Regions from separate parts of the Mus musculus genome. Here regions 2 and 3 are each reported to be linked to region 1. The links are microRNA targets in miRTarBase. Many come from high-throughput screens and were not tested one by one. Region 1 holds a microRNA gene; each other region holds the end of a gene's coding sequence.

What was found. Region 1 holds the annotated microRNA mmu-miR-29c-3p (UAGCACCAUUUGAAAUCGGUUA, at 5,202-5,223, opposite strand). A microRNA usually pairs through its seed, bases 2 to 8, with sites in the 3' UTR of a target mRNA and lowers its output. Matches are read on the target gene's strand: a 7mer-m8 pairs with bases 2 to 8, a 7mer-A1 pairs with bases 2 to 7 and ends in A, and an 8mer does both.
Region 2: the mRNA of Pigt is a reported target of mmu-miR-29c-3p. Seed matches in the 3' UTR shown: 7mer-m8 at 1,488-1,494.
Region 3: miRTarBase lists Eps15 as a target of mmu-miR-29c-3p. Seed matches in the 3' UTR shown: 7mer-A1 at 5,565-5,571 and 7mer-m8 at 4,296-4,302.

Annotation. Positions count from the first base shown.
Region 1 is chr1:195,035,705-195,042,822 of GRCm38, reverse strand. Mir29c (microRNA 29c) reads right to left here and starts at 5,276; the gene lies at 5,189-5,276. It overlaps Cd46 (CD46 antigen, complement regulatory protein), which reads left to right. Exons shown (of 11, transcript NM_010778.4): 11 at 810-1,585. The coding sequence ends at 831. It overlaps A330023F24Rik (RIKEN cDNA A330023F24 gene), which reads right to left. Exons shown (of 8, transcript NR_015566.2): 8 at 4,915-7,118. It overlaps Mir29b-2 (microRNA 29b-2), which reads right to left and starts at 5,783; the gene lies at 5,703-5,783.
Region 2 is chr2:164,506,727-164,513,844 of GRCm38, forward strand. It overlaps Pigt (phosphatidylinositol glycan anchor biosynthesis, class T), which reads left to right. Exons shown (of 12, transcript NM_133779.2): 11 at 1-7; 12 at 549-1,575. The coding sequence ends at 801. Among named protein-coding and RNA genes, the nearest start is that of Pigt, 13 kb to the left of the region's middle.
Region 3 is chr4:109,384,078-109,391,195 of GRCm38, reverse strand. It overlaps Eps15 (epidermal growth factor receptor pathway substrate 15), which reads right to left. Exons shown (of 25, transcript NM_007943.3): 25 at 3,379-5,877. The coding sequence ends at 5,731. Among named protein-coding and RNA genes, the nearest start is that of Ttc39aos1, 19 kb to the left of the region's middle.

The sequences.
Region 1 (7,118 bases):
TCCTGTTGTCAGCTGCACTGAAGGAGCTCTGGAGGCAGGTCATACTCAGGTAGAACAGAGCTTGACCTCCACCAGGCCCCAGCCCACTCAGGCTCTGAGGAACTACTGCTGAGAGAAGAAACCGTCATTCCTGATGAATTGCCTTTTCTGAGGTGTATTTTCACTTTTATGTTTAGTAGCATAGAGGGGCCAAGGAGACATCCCCTTGAGAAGATTGTGAGTCCGAACTGAAACTGAGCGAGGGTGAACCCTGCTTTGAGTATAAACACCTACAGTCACTCTGAGTGAAACTCCAAGCCTTTTACCCTCCAAGTGGATACTTCAGGAAGATAACTCTTGGACAGAAAAACAAACAAAACAAAAAAACCACCTAGGAATTTGATTAAGAAAAATTGAAATCTGTACTCATTTTCACATTCTTAAAAAAAGAAAAAGGTAGCAGTTGTACCTATACACGGTGCTATACTTAAAAATCATAGCATTTAAAAAAGAGGCCAAAGATAAGTTAAGACAAAGAACTACTAATTGTTTAAAGACAAGAAATGGCTTTACTGTTTTAAAACTTAATTTAAAATATTTTCAATCAAATATTTTATTTTGAAAATAAATTTACCTTTATAGCTTGATCTGCTTCAAATTTAACCTTCAAATTACTATTTATATTTGACACATGTCTGTATAAATATACATTTTATTTTTATCAAATACTTTGTCAGTTATATAAATATGAGGAAAAGTGCTTTTTAAAAAATTGTCCACATGGCAGAGAAAAAGGCATATTTGAACTTGAAATGTTCTTTTAACTACAGAAATGTATCTGCAGCAAGATGAAAATCTCATGTGTGGAAGTCATTACTGTTCCATTTTTGAAAACTGGATCTTCAAGTCTGGCAAACGCAAAATTATATATTTGCAGGAGCTTCATTTGTGGTAATGTGTGTGTTTCTAGTGTAAATCAAATCTGTGTTTATAAATACAATCTGTATCTAACCTCTCTACTATAACCTCACATTTCAGCCCCTGCAGCTCACCAAGGGTTCTCAGTATCCAACCATGAGTGCCTGTGTACTAAGCAGAATGTTCTGCCTGTGACATGGTATTTGCAGGAAGAAGGTCACATTTCCAAGCAGACACCAAACCCTGTCCAGTTGGAGCTCTTATCCCCATGCCTCACACTTTCACTGCACATAATGGCTGTGAATTAACCACATCTGTGCCTTCCACACTCAGTCTGTCACCTGAAATGCTTAATATTCTCTCTAAATCCATGTACCTCTAACGCCAATGCATGTCCTACCAGTCCTGTGAAGCTCTAACTCCTCAGGTTCTTTATCTTTATTGGTTAGCCTTAAGTTAGCCACATTTAAGAGTCTGTATACATGTGCCTAATAGGAGATGTAATTTTCATATCACTTGAACGTATTCATAGGTCTCAAAAAACAAAGTAAAACCTGTGTAACTAATAGGACATGATGATTTTTATGTGAAAATAAAAATGTGACAGTCAACTCTCCATATAAAGAGGATAACAGCTTAAAGAAAATCAGAGTTTAATTCTACCTATTAAAAACCAAATTTTCAAAGACTTGAACTTAAAGTTGTTCATGGGTTGGGGATGAAGCTCAGCAGAAAGCTTGCTCAGCATGTACAAGACCCTGAATTCATTCCTTAGCACTGGGAAGAAAACAGTCATTAACAGATTATTAACTGTTTGCTTAAAAGTATTGATGTCTGTCAAAATAAGCAATGATAAATTGTAGTTTTAAAATATGATATAGTAATGTTTATGAACAATATAAACACAGAATGAAAATTGCATTGACTAAGCATTTTTAGAAAATTAACATGAGACTCTAGCATATTTTTAATTGGCATAAAATATACAGAAAGGACTTTTACAGTAACCAACAGTAAATTGTCTGAATTATGCTAGAAAGACTCAGGGGCAAAAAGAACCTGAATATTCATCCTAATTTTAAGGTTTAAGGGAAATAAGCAATTCTACCAGAGAGCTAACATTTTAACCAAGACTGGATTTTTCATAGTTTAATAATTTGCCTATTTAAGAACAGAATTGAATGAATCCAATACACAACTATTCTTCCTTATGCATCAGTATGCTTAGGCTCTCTAGGCTCATCCTGAGATTACCCTAAAATGAGCTGTCAGCCTTTGAGATCATAGCACTGCTGCCCTCCTGTGGACTGTTTAAGTATCTGACAGTCTTCTGCCTCTTCACTGTGACATTGTCATTAATTTTATTTTAGATCAGGTAGAACAGTAGCTCTCTTCTGCTTTTGTGAAGGTAGTAATTAATTTTTTTGTTCCTCACTTCTTAAATATGGGGGATATATAATACTTGGTGGAACAAGTGAATGCATAATTTCCCTTCTTGCTTGTTTACATACAGCAGGTGAACATATTGCCACACAGACAATGCTGAAAAACTATCCACCTTGATTCCCGACATGACTGGACAAAACCCAGTAAAACCTGAGTACAGGTATTAAGACCAATGTGAGGAATAGCTCTGAAAACTGTTGTACATTGCAATGCTGAACCACTATAAACAGGAACTCTAGTGTTTGGAGTTCATTGGGAATTTAGGGCGTATCTAATGCTTAGTTGAACATATTAAGTATGGTGCTTGGAAAAAATTAATCTGATTACCTACCTCCACCTGCAATGCCTACTCAAAAAAAAATTAAATCTGTACTCGAGGTGAGCTTCAACCATGAAGAATTCCTTCTGTAGGCTCCCATAGCAATCAATATACTTCTCAAACTGATGTGCAGGTTAACCACATTGTGATTTTGTTAAAATGTGATGACTGATTAGAGAAGACATTGTGGCCACATCGGCAAAATGAGATCCTGCTGGCCTTTGAAGCTTGAGGGAAAGAGCAAGGCAAAGAACACAGCCTGTTTACAGAAAGAAGCAAGACAACTACTTTTCCTTCATATTTCTGAAGCGTTTGTGTCTGATAGTACCTTGATTCTAATCCAGTGAAAATGTTATATTTCTGCTATTCAGACCTGTTAAGAATGTTGTGTGTGTTAAGATATCACATTTGTACTAATTTGTTACAGTACTGACTTGAAATTTATGCACTAACATATTAACTGGCAGCACATAACTATGACCAAAATAGTATGGTCTTTTCAGAAATAGAGAAGTGGCTCTCAGCCTTGGCTCTACAATAGACTCATCTGAGCCCCATTCTAAAGCCAGCTAAAATAGTATTTGCTTGCAGGAATGGGACCTGAACCTGAGGATCACTCTTTTGGTGACCAAAGCCACAGTAATGTGGTACTGAGGTAGAATGTGCCCCAGATCAAACACAGATTTATCTCCGGCTTCCCTTAAAAGTATGTTAATATCAATGTGCTATCTATTCCTGAGACTATATGCCAGCTTCCAAACAGAAGGCCTAGACCAACTTCTTAAAGATGCTAGGGACTAAACTTAATTCATTTGATCTACTAAACTGGTTGCAGATCTTTCTTCCCCCAGTTAACAAAAATACACTGTATTCACTTCTAAAAAGTCTGGTAAGGCTTAATTTTAAAAAACTAATGCTTTAACAAAAGTCTTTATACCTGGGTTGACAGCATGGTTTTATAAATCTGATTCAGGAGGGTGCTGTTAAAAAAAAACCTACATTACTAGCCAATTATGAAAAATTATCCCAGAGTGACAATTTTATGTAAAGGGCTATAAGCATCCAGATAAAAAATAACTGAGAGGTGTTCTGGTTTCAATTTGCTTCTCAGGACATCAGGATATGGCAAAGTTTAAGTATTCAATGAGAATATTATGATTTTTCTAAATGGAAATAAATTTTAAATCATTGTTTTTGTGCTTTGATATTAAATTCAACTTTCTAGCACTTAACTCATTAAAGAGCCAGAATCATGGCCTGGGGGAGTTTCAATCAAATTTTCAGTACAAATTAATTGGGAGCTTTGGACAGAGTAGCTATGTTTTTTTTTTTTTTAAAGACTTAATGTGTAGTTAATACCACAGACCCAATCTGTCATACTTAGAGGAGCTGCAGTCTCCTACTTTAGTGGGGTAAATTAAAAAATACAGCTGAGGGACTTAGCTATTCCTACCAGCACATCCTTAGATGTGACTTAGAACATGGATTCTTCAATCAAAGGCTTGAAATAGCTTTGCAGCTGCAGGATGCATCATAGTCGCTGGGAAGTCTTTCCAGCAAATTCTCCAACAGCCTCCCACTTCCAGCAAAATGGGCAAGGCAGCCATCTGGGGTAAGGCAACTGGGATGAAGGCTTAGAAGAAGCTTCCTGAGCAGCTGATTTGCCATTAGTTATTAAAACCTACTGGCTTGAAATAATTGTACTGCAGGTAGTTCATAGTTAGCTATGCAACTCCTATGGAAGGGGCCACCTGCTTTCTTCCTGAAAGTTCCCCAATCATGAACCCTGCCCCTCCACCACCCCCAATGCTGGCAAATCTCTGAACAGTTTTATAGAACTTTTTCACCGCCTACTGAAGGGTTGAAATAAACTATCAGTGGAAAGTAGAACTCCCTCTGCTACAAATACAACTGAAATTAGCCTGCTCCCCTTTAAGGGCCACATGACAGTGCAGTTAAGTAAGTTCCCTGCAGCAACTGACAGGAGGAGGGTCAGAGTCCACAGTTCCCTTGGAACCAAGAATAGTCTTCCCATTTAGTAACATCCCTCAGCCTAGAGCTCCAACCTTCTGTCTCTGCTAATCTTTCATCTTTAGAATTTCATTCCTGTCTTAATGACCTTCATTTTTAATGTCTGCATGCAGCAACCTACTTCCAATTCCTTATGATTGGCACAGCAAATTAACTTTCCAGGGACCACTTCTCATTGCCATAGAATTATGAATGAAAAATAGTAGATAAAACAGACATGATAGATTGAATGTAGCAAATTATTTATTAAAGCCAACGTTTAACAGTACTTAGTTTATAACAGTACTACATGTCAGAAATTGTAACTGAGAATATTTTACAACAATAAATTATAACAATTAAAACCCCCCACTAAGTGATCTCTAACCTTGGCAGCCACATACATACGAATTAAAGAAGTTAGGAAACTGTGATCTTCCTTTTCCACTCTGCCCACGTAGGAAGTGATAGGCTGATGCTGATGCTGACACCACAAGGTTCTGAGGCTGGTGCTCTTCCCCCTACATCATAACCGATTTCAAATGGTGCTAGACAAAAACAGACTCTGAACACCAGGAGAAATCGGTCAGCCTGTGTAAGAGATGGACCGACTGGTGGTGTTCTTCAGGTCTGAATCTCAAGGCAGGTGACAGTCTGATTTCAGCTGTGCTGCAACCAGGACTGAATGAGTGCTCCATGGATCTTCCAGGTTCAGACGAGCCATACTGATGTGAATGAAGCAGTCCTCCACATACAGAGCTCTTACCCCTTCCTTGCTACAATTAATGAACAGTGCAGGCCCAAGGAACCCTCTTCCACCCATGGAATGCTGAATAAAGTAGACCACTTCCTGATTATACCCTTATACATTCTGAACACAAAAACTTTCTCACTATCACTGCCTCTAAACCAAACAGACTCAAGAGCAAATGTCACTATTCAAGTCTTCCCTTGATTTCTCGAAGGAGAGAGCCAGTTCTGTGTACAGCTGTTCCTCTGTAGTCTACCCTCTGCTGTGCTGCAATTCTTACTCCTAAAACACTGATTTCAAATGGTGCTAGATACAAAGATGGAAAAATCTAAGCCACCATGTGAAACCAGCTTCCAGAAGAAGAGGATCTCACTGAAGAAAGCAGAGATGTGCAGTCAGAAGAACCAGCCTCAGCCCTGAGAATCATTTTGCCTGTCAGACGCAGATGACAGCCATACAGCCAACACTTTGAGCAGACAAAAACAATGCAAAGCTTGTTTCCTGTGTGACTTCACATTAGTCATTAGAAATCATCATACACAATGAAATAAAAGAACCAAATCCATTCAACATATGTACATTTGTAATGTCTTGAATTTATGTAATTTCCCAAGATGCATAGTGTCGGTAGATATGTCACTTGTTCAAGACAATGACAATGACCTATGAGATGTTAACAACTGAACCCAAGTAAGTCACCTGTGCCAGGACAACTCTTCCACAAGTATTATTCAAAAAGAGTATGTTCCTTCCTGCTCTCTATCCCATGACCCTGTAGGCTAGCAATTTGATTTAACCCCTAATGTCTTTTTAAAAGCTGGTATCTTAACACTGTATTATACAGATAACCCTCTAACACAAAACAAGGTATGTTTTAAAAATGTACCTAAAAATAAGATTCACAAGCTATGTTTCACATTGTACTGCATTTTTGCTGTATATTTCCTCTGATGTCACAACTGTCATCTTTGAAAGGAGACAAAGAGTAGAGCTGTATTTTTCAGGTTCCCCAGAAAAACTTTTTGGCTTCCAGATACAAGCATATTTTTTTATGGCTCCTGGCTGTTTTGGGGTAATAGAGCAAATATAATGTGAGTATCCCCAGAGTCACAATATTCAATTGTTCCAAGATTCCAGTGAAGTAGGTTATTATTCCGATGTCTGCACAAGAAACTGTAGTCACAGGATACGATGAGCTAATGTCTATATTCCTTTCCCTCTGCCCACTGTTGCTGCTTGATCCACAGCTTGACTGTGACCTCTTTTCTCTTGAACTGAACTCAGAGCTAGACTGGGGAGGGGGATTTAGCTCAGACAATCTGGATGGGAGACTCACTGTAAACATGCTATCCCTGGGTGAAGATGAGAACACATCGTTGGTACTGCAAGAGGTCAAGTAGTCTAGGAGGACCTGCTTTTGTTCTTTTGCCTCATTGGTGCCCCTTTATTCTTTCCAGCAATAGAGAAGATGATAGCAATGAAGCCTAGCAATGCTGACACTGACTTCTCAGAAACTGGGCCAGCCAGAGGAGAAACAGAAGGCCCAGCAGCCTCCCTGGGGCTTTCCAGGGCCTTAGCTGCAGATGAGTGCTGGAAGATCTATACACTGGGTTTCTGAGTGACACTGACATTGGTTGGCAAAATTAGAGCCTGAGGGTTAGGAACTCTAACCCATGATAGGGAGGGCTTTAGGTC
Region 2 (7,118 bases), not on the chromosome of region 1:
ACACCTTGTAAGTGTGACCACACCCTTCCGCTCTCCCACAGTCATGTGAGATTTAGCAGGCCCTCTTGAAATCCTAGTGGCCTATGACATTGGTAAAGATGTATAAAAGGCTAAGACAAAAAGGTGAGAGTAGTTGCAGGTACCTACCAAACCTAACATCAGTGGAACGCTTACCTAGTGTCAGGGACTAAAGAGAGATAGAAGATAGACAACGTGGCCTGTCCCCTGTGCTCAGCCGTGGGCAGATTGTTCTAGATAGCTATGATGGTGGAAGCGGTGGTGGTGGAGGAGGTGGTGGTGGCGGTGGCGGCATGCAGTAAGTTAGCTATTTTGAGGAGAGCCATTAAGGCTGAGACTAAGGCAGTAGACAAGGCGGCCCTTTGCTTCCGTGCTGGTGCTCTCCTTTGATCTGATCAGGTGAGCCTGCGCTCTCTGGTGAGGTGATCCTTATTGGGTGTCAGCACTAGGACCTGCAGCACAAGCTGTGGAGAGTAGGGAGACGGAGGGTGGGGCAGCAGTCCTGTCTCAGCCCTCCTTCCCATCCCTAGGTTCCCGGTGTCTGATGGCTCCAGCTACTTTGTCCGACTCTACACAGAGCCCTTGCTAGTGAACCTGCCCACCCCGGACTTCAGCATGCCCTACAATGTGATCTGCCTTACGTGCACGGTGGTGGCCGTGTGCTATGGCTCCTTCTACAATCTCCTCACCCGAACCTTTCACATCGAAGAGCCCAAGTCGGGCGGCCTGGCCAAGCGGCTGGCTAACCTCATCCGCCGTGCCCGTGGTGTGCCCCCTCTCTAGTCCGGCGTGCCCGTGGTGTACCCCCTCTCTAGTCCTGTGAGCCCGTGGTGTACCCCCTCTCTAGTCCGGCGCGCCCGTGGTGTGCCCCCTCTCTAGTCCGGCGCGCCCGTGGTGTGCCCCCTCTCTAGTCCGGCGAGCCCGTGGTGTGCCCCCTCTCTAGTCCGGCGAGCCCGTGGTGTGCCCCCTCTCTAGTCCGGCGTGCCCGTGGTGTACCCCCTCTCTAGTCCTGTGAGCCCGTGGTGTACCCCCTCTCTAGTCCGGCGCGCCCGTGGTGTGCCCCCTCTCTAGTCCGGCGCTCCCATGGTGTGCCCCCTCTCTAGTCCGGCGCTCCCGTGGTGTGCCCCCTCTCTAGTCCGGCGAGCCCGTGGTGTGCCCCCTCTCTAGTCCTCCCTTTCCCCAGCAACTGCAGCTGCACTCGTCCGACCCGAGGGAGCAGGGCAGGGCTTTTTCTGCCACCCGCTGTGTCTCCAGAGTTAGCTTTTGAGGCTAACTCCCTCTGGAGCTGGTCTGGGCCAAGGCGTGGTTTCCAGTGTGGTAGACTTGAGCCAAATCCCTTCCCATCCTCTCCTGTGGCAGCCGTGCTTCTGCCTACAAGGGGCTCGTGCTGCAGTATACCGGACAGCCTAGCGATGCTTCCGTCTTTACTGGACATTCTGATGGCCCAGGCAATGGGCGCAGTAGAGCTGTGGTGCTGTTTGGGGGTGGGGTGGGGTGGGGTGGGGTGGGGGTGAGTGTCTGTGAACTTACTGATGTAATAAAGTGGCAGCCTTCCTAGGTCGTTGCTTCCTTCCTAAGGCCTGGGAAGAGTTCCCAGCTAAAGCCTGTGATGCCTATGGGCCCACCCCAGACAGAAATGCCTTCTCGTCTGTGTATCTCCCACCCCTCTCGTAATGACTCCCCAACTCTGGTTTTGGCTGGGAGATTTTCTGTAAATATAACCTATGATCATGAAAATCCTCCTAGCAAAGGCAGAGCAGAGTGGCTAACTACAGTGTGTCAGAATGGCGGACTCTCTGCGGTGCCTGGAAATGTTTGGTATTAAGGACCACTTCTTAGCCAGGTGCTGCACACCTTTAATCCCAGCGCTTTGGGGGGCAGAGGCAGGTGGATTTCTGTGAGTTTCAGGACAGCCTGGTCTACAGAGCAAGTTCTAGGACAGCCAGGGCTACACAGAGAAACCCTGTCTCAGAAGCTAAAGGAAAAGGACCGCTCATTAAATCAAGCACTAGCCCTGGAGCCTGCCCTTGCCTATCTCCTTTAGAGAACGCTGGGTTCCTGTAGAACAAGTCCTTAAGCAGTAAGCCTCCCCCACCCCAGCTTCGCCAGCATACTCAGGTAACTTGTTCTCTCTGCCCATAGCCCACGCTTCCCTCCCAGCTCGTCAGACAAAATGCATTGTTCACCAACCACACACCCTTAACTGCCTGCTCACTCTTGCTTCCTCTGGGAAGGCTGTGACCTGACAGGATGCCATCAGTGCCCTCTGTCTGTCCTCCCTCAGGCCCTTGCACTGTCCCTGTTGTTACCAGTGCTTGCTGCATGGATCTTCAGCAGGATGTGACCATCTCAGGACATACCACCAGTGTCCAGCAGTGCGAGCATGGGAGCGAATTCTGGTCTGGGATCCAGGATAGAGAGGGGAATGGGGACACCCTGAAGTCTGTCGATGTGAGCATAGCAGTAGACTTGGCTTAACTACTGGCTGGGCCACTTGGGTCTTTGAGCAGCACAAGAATGCAGGCACAGGAGGGAATGGTGCTCGGCTAGTCCAGACTCAAAAGCAGCTTGGTTTAGACATTTCTTTTTGCACTTTCTCCCCGAGTAGCAAATAAGCAGGCTGCGATGGGCATGAGTGTGGCTGGGCCAGGAGCTGGGATCTCAGCACTCCAGGTTGCAGTTAGGATTGTGAGTTTAAGGCTCAACTGGGCTACATAGACCCAGTGTTTAAAACACAGAAGAAAACAAAGGCCGGGCATATTGGCCAGTGCCTTTCCTTTGAGCACTAGAGAGGCAGAGGCAGGTAGATCTCTGAGTTTGAGGCTAGCCTCATCTACATAGTTTCAAGACAGCCAGAGCTACATAGAGAAACCCTGTCTCAAAATAAGAAAAAGAAAACAAAAATGTAGGTGGGTGGCACTTGTGGTGGGGAATGACAGCCAGGTTAGAAGAGCTTGAAATGGGCCTGATTTTTCTCCCAGCATGTCAGCTAGAAATGGCCTCAACATGCTGGCTGCTCCTGCATGTATGATCGATTGCCTCTCCCAACATTGATTTACACAGCTGCCCTTCTCTACCCGCGTTTTCCATTTGATGGCCAGAATCCCCATCCCTGAACTTGTCATAGTCCCTGTCCCACCCGAGATGTGCTCAACCACTGTCTCCTGTCAGTGACGTTCATCCCCTTTGCACCAGTCCAGCCCTTTGAGGTGTCTGGTCTTTTCTTCCACGTCCGGTGTGCACCTTCAGAACAAATTCAGAATCTGACAGCTTTGTGTATGTGGCACATATGGAAGCTAGATGTTACGGCAAGTGTCATTCCTCAAGGTCTGTCCACCTGTGCTCTTGTGTTCTGTGTATGTTCTATCTGCATGTATGTCTGCATCACATGTATATGGTGCCCGTGGAGACCCTGTGACGGGTTACAGATAGGCCACCGTGTAGGCTCTGGAAATGAAAGCCAGAGAGCAGCCTATGCTCCTAACTGCTGAGACCTCTCTCCAGCCCACTACCATGTTTTCTGAGAAGGGGTCTCTCCCTGGGTTGGAATTGGCCGAGAAAGCTAGGCTGGCTAGGCAGCAAGCACCCACGATAGGCCTGTCTCCTCCTCCCTGGCTCTGGGAGTACATGAACATGCCACTGTAGCTGTCTTACATGTGTCGTAGGGATAGAGCTCTGCCCCTTGCTCTGACTCCCGCCACCTCCCAGCCTTCCTGACTTCTTCCTTCAGGAGTGTTTCCTAGCACACCCTGTTTGTAGTTGCCTCCCAAGCCCAAGCTATTTCCTTTCCTGACTGTTTTCCATTCTACGCTACCCTTTCTAGCATACTGTGAGCGAAACTGGTACTCCTCAGCCGCAGTGACTGGACAGTCAATAACTAGTACTCTTCAGCCACAGTGCCTGGATGGTCAGTAACTGGTACTCCCCAGCTGGAGCGCCTGGATGGAATTTGCACTTGGAAGGTTGGAGGAATGTGAGATACCTAAGGTCCTGCAGAAAGCTCCCTGCTAAGCAAGTCAGGCCAGCCAGTTGTCAGCTCTGGAATTCCTGAAATGAAATTTTGAGTGTATGTGTGTTGTTGACAAGGACCAATACTGTAGACCCTTAGGAATTGGCAAACCCGTCCTCAGGTCCAAGTCTGAGTGTTGACCAGTGTGTGCAACTTCAGCTTCCTTCTCCCAGAGGACTGCAACCTGAGAGTGCTCCCCTACAGAGACCTCCTACTGAGACGAGCTTACCCCAACCGGTTCTGTCCTGAATAGACAGGCTGATGTGGGTCTGGATTGCTGTGGAGTGGTTGCTGTGAGTGTTGCCCACCACCTTAGCTTCCCTCTCCCTCTCCCTCTCCCTCTCCCTCTCCCTCTCCCTCTCCCTCTCCCTCTCCCTCTCCCTTTCTCTCTCCGTGCCTGCCTCTTTTCTTCATTCCCTTGTTCAGCCAAACTTCCAGTTCCAAGCTGAGCTGCATGTGGCTCCTGGCAGCCCTGCCCTGCCAACACCGGAGTGACGGGACTTGGGGACAGAGCATTTCCTCTAAACTCTCTAAGCTGGTGTGCACCTGACCATGGTCTTCTCCAACAGTGTAGCACAAGGCAGTGGTATCTGGGGAAAGGGCTAGGGGTGCCCAGTCAGGCACTTGGGCATGGTGAGCCAGGCTAGAAGATGGGGTAGGTGGGAGGAAGAAAGGAAGGCTTCTGTCCCGAGAACTCTCAGGGAAGGACTAGGGAGGATGAGGCCCTGAAGACAGGGAGTAGCTCTTCACAGTTTCTGTTTACCTTGTAACCTGCCTCCATCCTCTTCATTAGACAGACGTCAGCATCTTTCACATGCCTGCCAGGATAGTGCAGGACACTATAGTGGGTTCCTTGTGGACTATAGGAGTCAGAGAGCTCTGTCTTTGCTTCTGTTCATCAACCCCACCCCCACCCCCAAGCACTAAGAATCTACGAGTATTAATTTAGAAGAAGAAGAAGGGCTGGAGAGATGGCTCATCGGGTAAGAGCACTGACTGCTTTTCCAAAGGTCCTGAGTTCAATTCCCAGCAACCACGTGGTGGCTCACAACCATCTGTAATGAGATCTGATGCCCTCTTCTGGTGTGTCTGAAGACAGCTACAGTGTACTCATATAAATAAAATAAATCTTTAAAAAAAAAAAAAAAAAAAAAAAAGAAGAAGAAGAAGAAGAGGAGGAAGAGGAGGAGGAGGAGGAGGAGGAGGAGGAGGAGGAGGAGGAGGAGAAGAAGAAGAAGAAGAAGAAGAAAGAAGAAAGAAGAAAGAAGAAAGAAAAAGAAGAAAGAAGAAAGAAGAAAGAAGAAAGAAGAAAGAAGAAGAAGAAGAACAACAACAACAACAACCACCCTAGGGAATTCTATGTTACACGCTGTGTTCTGTCTTGGAGCAGGTAAGCTGCCAGGCAGGGACAGTCACCAAGCACTGGCCTCTTGTTGAACAGAGGCTGACCACGTACTGGACTAAGCTCCTTACAAGTAACTCTCTTCTCATAACAATCCTATGAGGTATTATGTTTGTTTACAGATGACCCTAAGGGCTTAAGGATCCTTAGTCTGTGAGAAATGGGGCAGGGATTAGAGCTCAGACAGCCTGATTTGTAACCCGTGCTCATACCACCGCAGCCCCTTCAACAGGAGAGTGAGCCACTACCCTAGGTAGAAAAGAAGGAAATGCCTATGCTAAGCCAGTAAATGAGAATGTTCTAGCGAGGTCAGAAGGAGAGGGAGAGGGAACTAATTTGAGAGGCACAAAGCTGGCAACAGCTGCCCCTGCTGGGTGTTCTCAGGGAAGGAGGCTCACGGGGGGGGGGGGGGGGGGGGGGGTGCGGCGGCAGTGCAGGTCCTGTATAACCAGAGTCTGAAGGGATCGGCCATGGAAAAAACCCCTTCCACCCACAGCAGAACCGAACAGGAGGCACAGAGGTCTGGATTGAGGCAGGGCCTCTGCCTGGGCAGGAAAGGCTGGGAGACAGAGGAAAGGTGGAGCCACCCTTGCTTAGCTTATCTCATAGTTTCCAGAGTCCGCTTGGTCTGTGCTCCTGCCTCTGGTACCTCCTCCTCCATGAAGCCTTCGCTGTCCCTTTCCGTACCTTCAGTGGTCATATCTTCAAACGGGCTTCTACAGTCATGCAATAACTAGTTCACTCACCCACTGGTCTTTCTGGATTTCTTTTTTTCTATCCATTCTACTCAGTCAACAAATATTTATCTAGTATTGGCTGTATGCTAAGCAATGTTCTAGGCACTGGGGACCTAGCCATGAACCACGAAGGGAACCTCCACACTCAGCGAAGGAGGCAGATAGTAAACACATTATGAAAAAGATTAAGCAAGATGCCTGTGAGGTCACACATGGGAAAGGCCTCCAAAGGGGTGACAGCAAACGGGTAGATGGGGCTCCTGTCTATTTGAGTCAAGCATCTCAGCTTGGGCTAGATCCACAGTAGGGTTCCATCCTCTCTTCACTCCCCTTGGAGCCTAGGCCAGTGCTCTTCCTGGTGTGATTTCACAGGATCCAGTGTGGTCTTTGGCAAATCCAAGAGGATACCAGGGCATGTATAATGTGTAACATTGAGGAGTAGCCCCAGACACCAGTGTCATCCCCAAAGACAAGAGTGTCATGGAAATGACAGCATGGAGTCCCCAGTTCTGGCTTCCGTTTGATCTGATGTAGCTGTTTCCCAAGCAGCAAGAGCAAATGGCTAGACCAGGTGCAGGACCAGAAGCGGTGATTGGGAAAGGGAGGGATCCCCATGCCCGGTCAGGGCAAACCCACATTCATTGTCAAAGAATGTAACAATGGCCCTTGTCCAACCTTAGAAAGAAAGGAAGCTGACTCACGGATGAGCCCTGAGGACATTATGCCAACTGTGGGCGGAGGAGTGGAGTCCCACCCAAGCTCATGGAGACTCCCCGACCTTCTTCCACTCCCTCTGCAGGCTCTTCTCACACGTGTTTCCTGCTAGGCAGGAAGAGCATTCAGGAGCTTGGAATGGAACGGCAGGTGAAAAAACAGTAGTTCAGGCTCTGGGGAGAGTGCAGACTCTCCAGAGCAGAGCGCAGTTCATCCTGGCTCCTAGGAGACACCCCTC
Region 3 (7,118 bases), not on the chromosome of region 1:
AGTCAGACAAGAGTTAGTTGACATAGGGTCTTAACAGTTCTTAGGCTTGCTACGAGCTTCTGAACACAATCAATCCTGCCTCAGCCTCTGCCGTCAGACTATAGGCACCTATGACCATCCTTGGCTTAAGATAATTTTTTGTGTCATTCATATCATTTATGCAGAATATATGTAACATTAAGACCTGAATTTGAAATATGTTAAAAAAAATCAGTGGCTTTTATTTTGTCTTGTGGCCCAGCACATATTCAATGACAAATTCTATTTCCTGAAATTTAAAATGATGCTCTTTAACACACTGAAAGATTTACATACAATGAATCAAAAGCCAAGGTATGCAGAGTTATCCCAAAGAGCCAAACAGCCACCCAACCAGCCAAACCAGATGTTAGCTCAATAAACATATTAATCTAGAAAACCATGCCCTTGGTCCAGGCAGCTGAGATGAATGGTAGCCCCAGGAAGGAAGGAAGGAAGGAAGGAAGGAAGGAAGGAAGGAAGGAAGGAAGGAAGGAAGGAAGGAAGGCAGGCTTCAGATTCAATCTACTGTGGGCAAAGCTCAGTGACAATGATAATGGGAAAGCAATATTCTTGACCTTACATCAGCCTCTTTTACTGATGAAATAAGGTTTCTAAAGAAAGGTCTGGATCTTGGAGCAGGCTAAATTCATTAAAGTGATAAATGCCACCTACGAGAAGCCTCCTGAAGAAGAAATCTTTTCAAATACACATCAAACATTGTGTGGCTGTGGATCTTATACTTGACTAATCATAAGCTGAGGGCAGGGTCCATCGACCTTTATTTAATACACCTTCCAGACGATCCGGAGGCTTCTAAACTCAGAGTTACTCTCCTCTCACTAACATCTATTTAGAAGCTATGATTTGCTAATCTCAGTTTGTTCTGGAGTCACTCTCCTCTTAGGGCCTAGCCATAACACTTTTCAAAACTTCTCAACTGGCTAACTTCACTTTATTTTTTTCCCTAAATCAATCCCCTCGATTACCAAGGAGAGCTTATACCAAAAAAACCATAAAGACAACTCATTCTTTTATCCATAAATGTAATGTATAAATGTAATGTTGTACTGAGCTACTTAAAAATATTTAAAACTTACCTCCTTTTTATTCAGGATGAGGAGCCCATAGAATCCAAGCTGGACTTGAATTCCTTATATTGCCAACGATAATCTTCAACTTCTGAGTGTTGGGATCACAGGCATGCAACATCCTGCCAGTTTCCAGGGTGCTGGGGACTCAGCCCAGGGCTTCATTCACTCCAGGCACTCTGGCCACCAGATTCCTCAGTGCCTCTACTGCCCTAGTCACGTCTTCCTTCAGAGCCTCAGCAGTACTGGCTACTGTTCATTTTTGTTTGACTTATTGCTTCAAACTTATAACTCAGGCTGATCTTTAATTCCGAGGACTTTTCTGTGTGAACATCCAGAATGCTAGTCTTATTAGGCATAAACCACCACCTGGCTTAAACTTGTATTTAATAAAAAGTAAGGCTGGCCTTTTCTGCCCTATGTTTATGGTAACGTTAATAATTTACAATTGAGTTCTCATGTCAGCAACTCATGTAGGATTTGTTTTATTTTTAATTATGTGTTACAGTCATATCTGTGTAGGTGAGTGTGAATGCCTGAGGTCAGAAAGGGTACTATATCCCTGGTGCTAGAACTACAGGCAGTCGTGAGCCATCAGTGGGTGCTGGAAACTGCACTCTATAGTCTTCTGCAACAGCAGCAAATGCCCATAACCACTGGGCATCTATCTGGGCCCTGAGAGAATTAATGCTTCCTTCCTACGTTTCTTCTTCTTTTTTTTTTTTTCCGAGTCAGGGTTTCTCTGTGTAGCTCTGGCTGTCCTGGAACTCACTTTGTAGACCAGACTGGCCTCGAACTCAGAAATCCACCTACCTCTGCCTCCCAAGTGCTGGGATTAAAAGCGTGCGCCACCACCACCTGGCCTACTTTTTCTTCATTCTTGATGGAGCTCTGGCTGACCTGAAACTCTCTATGTAGATCAGTGTGACCTCCAACTCCAAAGATCCACCTGTCTGCCTTTTCAGTGCTGGGATTAAAGGCGTGCACCACCACACTGGGCTCTGAGGAATGTTTTAAGATATCAGGTGTGATGTAGTAGACTTATTCCATTAAGAGTGACTATATAGATAATGCATGGTATTTCTATTCTGGTTTATCTCTATTAAGAACAACGCGTAGCAGTAAACCTCTGGACCCAGTTTCTTGGGTTCTCACTTGGGTATTTCTGAACAATGGAGACACCTGTACTTTTCAGAGTTCCGGTTGTGAGGACTAAGTGGATTGATATTTGCTAAACACTGAGGATCATGATAACAAGTTTAAAAATGACAGTCATTATTTATCATGTCCTGTTCCTACCATTTTCTAGAAGCATTTTTTTCACACAAAATGAAATACGGTATGTAAACTACATGCATTACCATGCTGGAATCAAGAGTTCAGGTGTGTAAGCTGAAGCACACACTTTAACTTTCTCATACAGATCTTCAAAACAGGAGAAAACCTGTCCTTACCGAGTCCTACGGTGAAAACTAGACAAGAAACACAAGCAGACACAAAATGCTTGGCATAGGGCGTCACATGCACCACACAGTCTAATGTGAGGCTGGGAAGAGCTCAGAGGTAAAGGAGGCCCTGGGGGGTGGGGGCAGTGAACCTATTTCCTTAAAATAGCTAGTATTAAAAAGGTGTTGCCGGGTATGGTGGCGCACGCCTTTAATCCCAGCACTCTGGAGGCAGAAGCAGGCGGATTTCTGAGTTCGAGGCCAGCCTGGTCTACAGAGTGAGTTCCAGGACAGCCAGAGATACACAGAGAAACCCTGTCTCGAAAAAAAAAAAAAAAGGTATCAAGCTGGGCAGGGTATTACATGGCTGTAATTCCAACTGCTCACGAGGCAGAAGAATTGAACTGGAGGTTAGCCCGAGATAGCAAGACCTCCATCTAACAAGAGATTGACCAAACTATCAAACTCATTAATGAGGAAAATGAAGTTCAGGGAATCAGAGGCTAAAGAACTTTCTTTTGTTGTTGTTCTTGCTTGTTTTTAAAAAGGGTCTCCCTATGTAGCTCAGACTGACTTCAAACTTGCCACATAGACTAGGCTGGTCAGAACTTCGGACCTGTTTGGTTTTGCCTCCTGGATTAAAGGTGTGCACAACCATGTATGACTTAAAGGAATTTCTCAAAAACAGCAGAAAAGGGATTTGAGGTCAGGAACATCCTAAGAACCCAAGGCACGCGTCCTTACACAGCCACGTGTTTCAGGCTCTATCTTTATGAAGATACATATCCTAACTTCCTTTCAAAAAACAGGACAAGATAACAAAGTTTGTTTATAGAATTAGCATTCAACATTTATTTAAGTCTCTATAGTACTGTAAGAACCCTTTATACAGGATAATGTATGCTGATGGCAACTTGCCCTCCTCCTACCATATGCACACGATCAAGAACAGCACAAAGTTTCAATGCAAAATGATATAGTACACATTTTTACTTATTAAAGTTTATTATCTTCATAATTACAACAGTAATTTATAAGTTTGAAACATGAGAGAACATCTATGAAGAGAGCACAGATAAAGCTGAACAAGTACATAAAAGGAAGATGGTTAAAACTCTGTCTTTGTTTCAAGCGCAGGCTTTGGAGCCAGGGTCAACACCATAAAACATCACAAATGGCTCTTAAGACATTCATTCTATACACTCAAGCATGGAGATATAGATATGTTTATGTCATATTACATACTTTAGTATGATATTGGCCCACTGAGCACACACATCTTAACAAAGGATAAGAACCTCTATGACCCAGCTAAGCGCACAGAAGATTAGGGCACACTTACTACACATCAAAAGTTGCTGTTTATAAGTTATAGATATTTAATATTTCCAGAGTGTTTTTTATTAAAAAAAATTAAAGCATTTCAAACATTTTTCACTTTTCTCAGTGCAAACGAAGGTTATTCAAGTCAACTTACCTTTCTCCTGAGGAGTGAGAGGAAGGGGCAAACAGGAACACCACCCAACCTGACCTGCTCATCACCCTTTGCAGCAAGCACTTAGGCCACGGAATTAGTTATCACAATTAAAGCCTTGTGATTACGATTCAGCCCTTACTTCATGTTTTAACTTTTATGCTGAAATATTTATTTACAAAAGTAGAAAAAAGTTAGCAGTGCAAGAAAGTGGTTGAAGTTTGTTTTAAATCCCAGCTATCCAATAGTATGTGGAAAAGAAAAAAAAGCACCATTTCAAAATGGTCTGATTAGACACTAGAATTTACTTATAGGCCAGGCAGTAAATTACTCTAACAACAGTTCAATACCACCTTAACTTGGCTATCCTAAAGAATTTTAAATAGTTTGTAGGTGCATTTTTGTTTATCTTGGTATTACAAACACTAAATTAGTAACTCTTATCTAAAAAATTACAAATTATAGTTTACTTCAAATCCATTTAAAATCCAGCTGTCTGTCAGGCCAGTTCAGCAGAAGATGGGCTTTTAACAAAAGTAGGGCTCTGATAATTTGGCAACTTGGTTTATTTTTCTCTCAATTTAAAAACTAGGATTTTTTTGGGGGTGGGGTAGCTTGTCAATTTTATTGGTGAGACAAATAAAGCAAATAAAGAAATTTAAACTACAAAGATGGACAGAAAGTAAGAGGATATAACAAATGTTATTTCTTCCATTTGTATCACTGCAAATAGCTGGGCCTTCACTAAAGAAACAAAACACATAATGAATACCAAAGTACCTTCCAATTCTAGCTTCCTAGACTTCAGGTCACTTATGAACTACGGTCAGTGCAGCCACAAAGGCAAAATGGGTACAGGCTAAGTGTTTGCTTAAACGGATAGGTTATATTTTAAGTTACAAATTTTCCTCACTAGCACTTAAAATGAACATATCCTTACAAATTTTATTTGTAAGAAATTGGTTTGTTTGTTTTTAACTAGGAAACATGTCGTGAGGTATCTGTTAATCGTAAAATTCTTTAAGTCCAGAGAAAATTGTTCTAAAAACATGTTTCATATACAAGGCTTTAATACTTTTATTTAGGAATTACTTGCGGCTGGAGCAATAATGGTTTAACTTATCCAGTTTTCAATAGTGGAGTAGATCTATGCAGAATATTTTCCCCTGTCTCTAAGTAACTTAACTATATTTTCTCCAGAAGTACATATAATGCACTTTAAACTGACTAATTTGTACCGATCAGAAGAAACAGGATACTCTTTCCCTCCCCCTCCTTCAAGCACTCAGCTCAGGGAGAATACTTGCACACTTTCAGAACTCCAGTCGTTGTCATAGTAACTACAGGACAAGGGTAGCACAGCGCAAAACTACATCTGCTAGGTTCCAGAAGGCAGAGGCTTGATGCTCTAGCTTTACAGGGGCTAGTGCAAGCAGGCAAGAGCTCACTATAAATGCACACCAGAACAGGGGTCTAGGCAAAGCCGTTTAATTAGGGTACTGCTTTTGGAAGAAAAAATAAAAGACACATTTGAAATAGCACCCCCCCCCAAAAAAAAAAAAAAAAACAAACTAGACTTTTGTCACATTTCTAGGAATCTCAAACCTTTTGTATCCCATGCTCATAGGTAGTTTGATGCACATGGTAAATAGCTTCAGTGTTCCAGAGAGCACTGTACTGCTGACAAAGGACAGATAACTCTTCATGCTTCTGAGATCTCAGATTTGCTAAGTGCAATGGCCAGTTCCAAGTCTTCTTGCTCCTGCTGATTTAGTCTGGCAAGCCTCTGTTCTTCTTCCCGCTCACTTTCCCTTTTTGCCCATTCAATCATATCTTCTTCAGAGGGATACTGCCATTTAAAAGATCCAAAGAATGAAGGAATTAAAAAATAAGCTAAGACATACAAAAGACCTTTTATAAAAGAGTGCTAACTACTTGTTTTACCTAAAGGAATAGTACTAATTCCTTGTTTTTCTGAAAATGTATTTTAACTACTTACTGAGCTCTGGTTTACTTTAAAATTTTAACACAATCTATGGGAAAATAAGTCTATAAAAATATAATAAGGCCTATAAAGTACGCCATTAAAATCATCACCTTAAAAAGTAGCAATTCCAGGCATGGTGGCATATGCTTGCAGTCCCAGAACATAGGGGACTGAGGAAGAAGGAAGCCAATCTGGGACACAGTGATATTTTCTCTAAACAGGTTAAATGCTTAGGATAGAATAGGATATTTAAAAACAGGAGTGGTCTAATCTTTCACTTCACCATAAAATCCTCCCTTCTGGATTTATTTTATTTTATTTTATTTTATTTTATTTTATTTTATTTTATTTGAGATGGACTATCACTAGGTGGCTTATGTTGGCCTCAAACTCATGATCCTGCTGCCTGTGTCCTAGGTTGTGGGATTACAACCATATGGCAGCATGCCTGATTGACATATCATTAAAATTAATGCCACTGGTGATAGCCGCTTTACCTGGCCTCTCAGGAAACCCCAAAAGTATAAAGCAAAAACAGACAAATTTTGCTACATAGAAGAACGTTAGATACAGAATGTGAACCTAATTATTATTATTTTTTTAACAAACATAGTTTCTGATAGTCCTTAGGAACTTTTAACCCAGTTTTATATAACTAAAATGACCCAGCTTAAGTAAAACCTGAATACTGATGATTAATTAGATTGGAAAAAATATTTGTAACTACAACCAAATTTCAACTTCAGTAGATACTAGATACAAAATTCTACTTGGCTTGAGTCTTGTCAAGAGAAGACCCATCAAAAGAGGTGAAACAAACTGGAAGGCTTTGACAGTGTACCTGTCACTCTTGGTGTGCTTATCAAACCTCTCCCAGTGAAAATGGAGGACTTTATTGTGAGCTACTATGCTGTACTGTACTGAGATTCAAGTATAAAGTAAGCAAAATGCCTCCACTACTGTTCAAGAGTCATTCCAACCAGGTTTTACTTGCAGATCCATATTTAACACACTGACTGTTACAAACTGCCAGACAGTTATTTTAGACCGAGAATTACAATCTCCTAAGAAAGCCAATTCTCCTTCTCTGCTCGAAACAATTC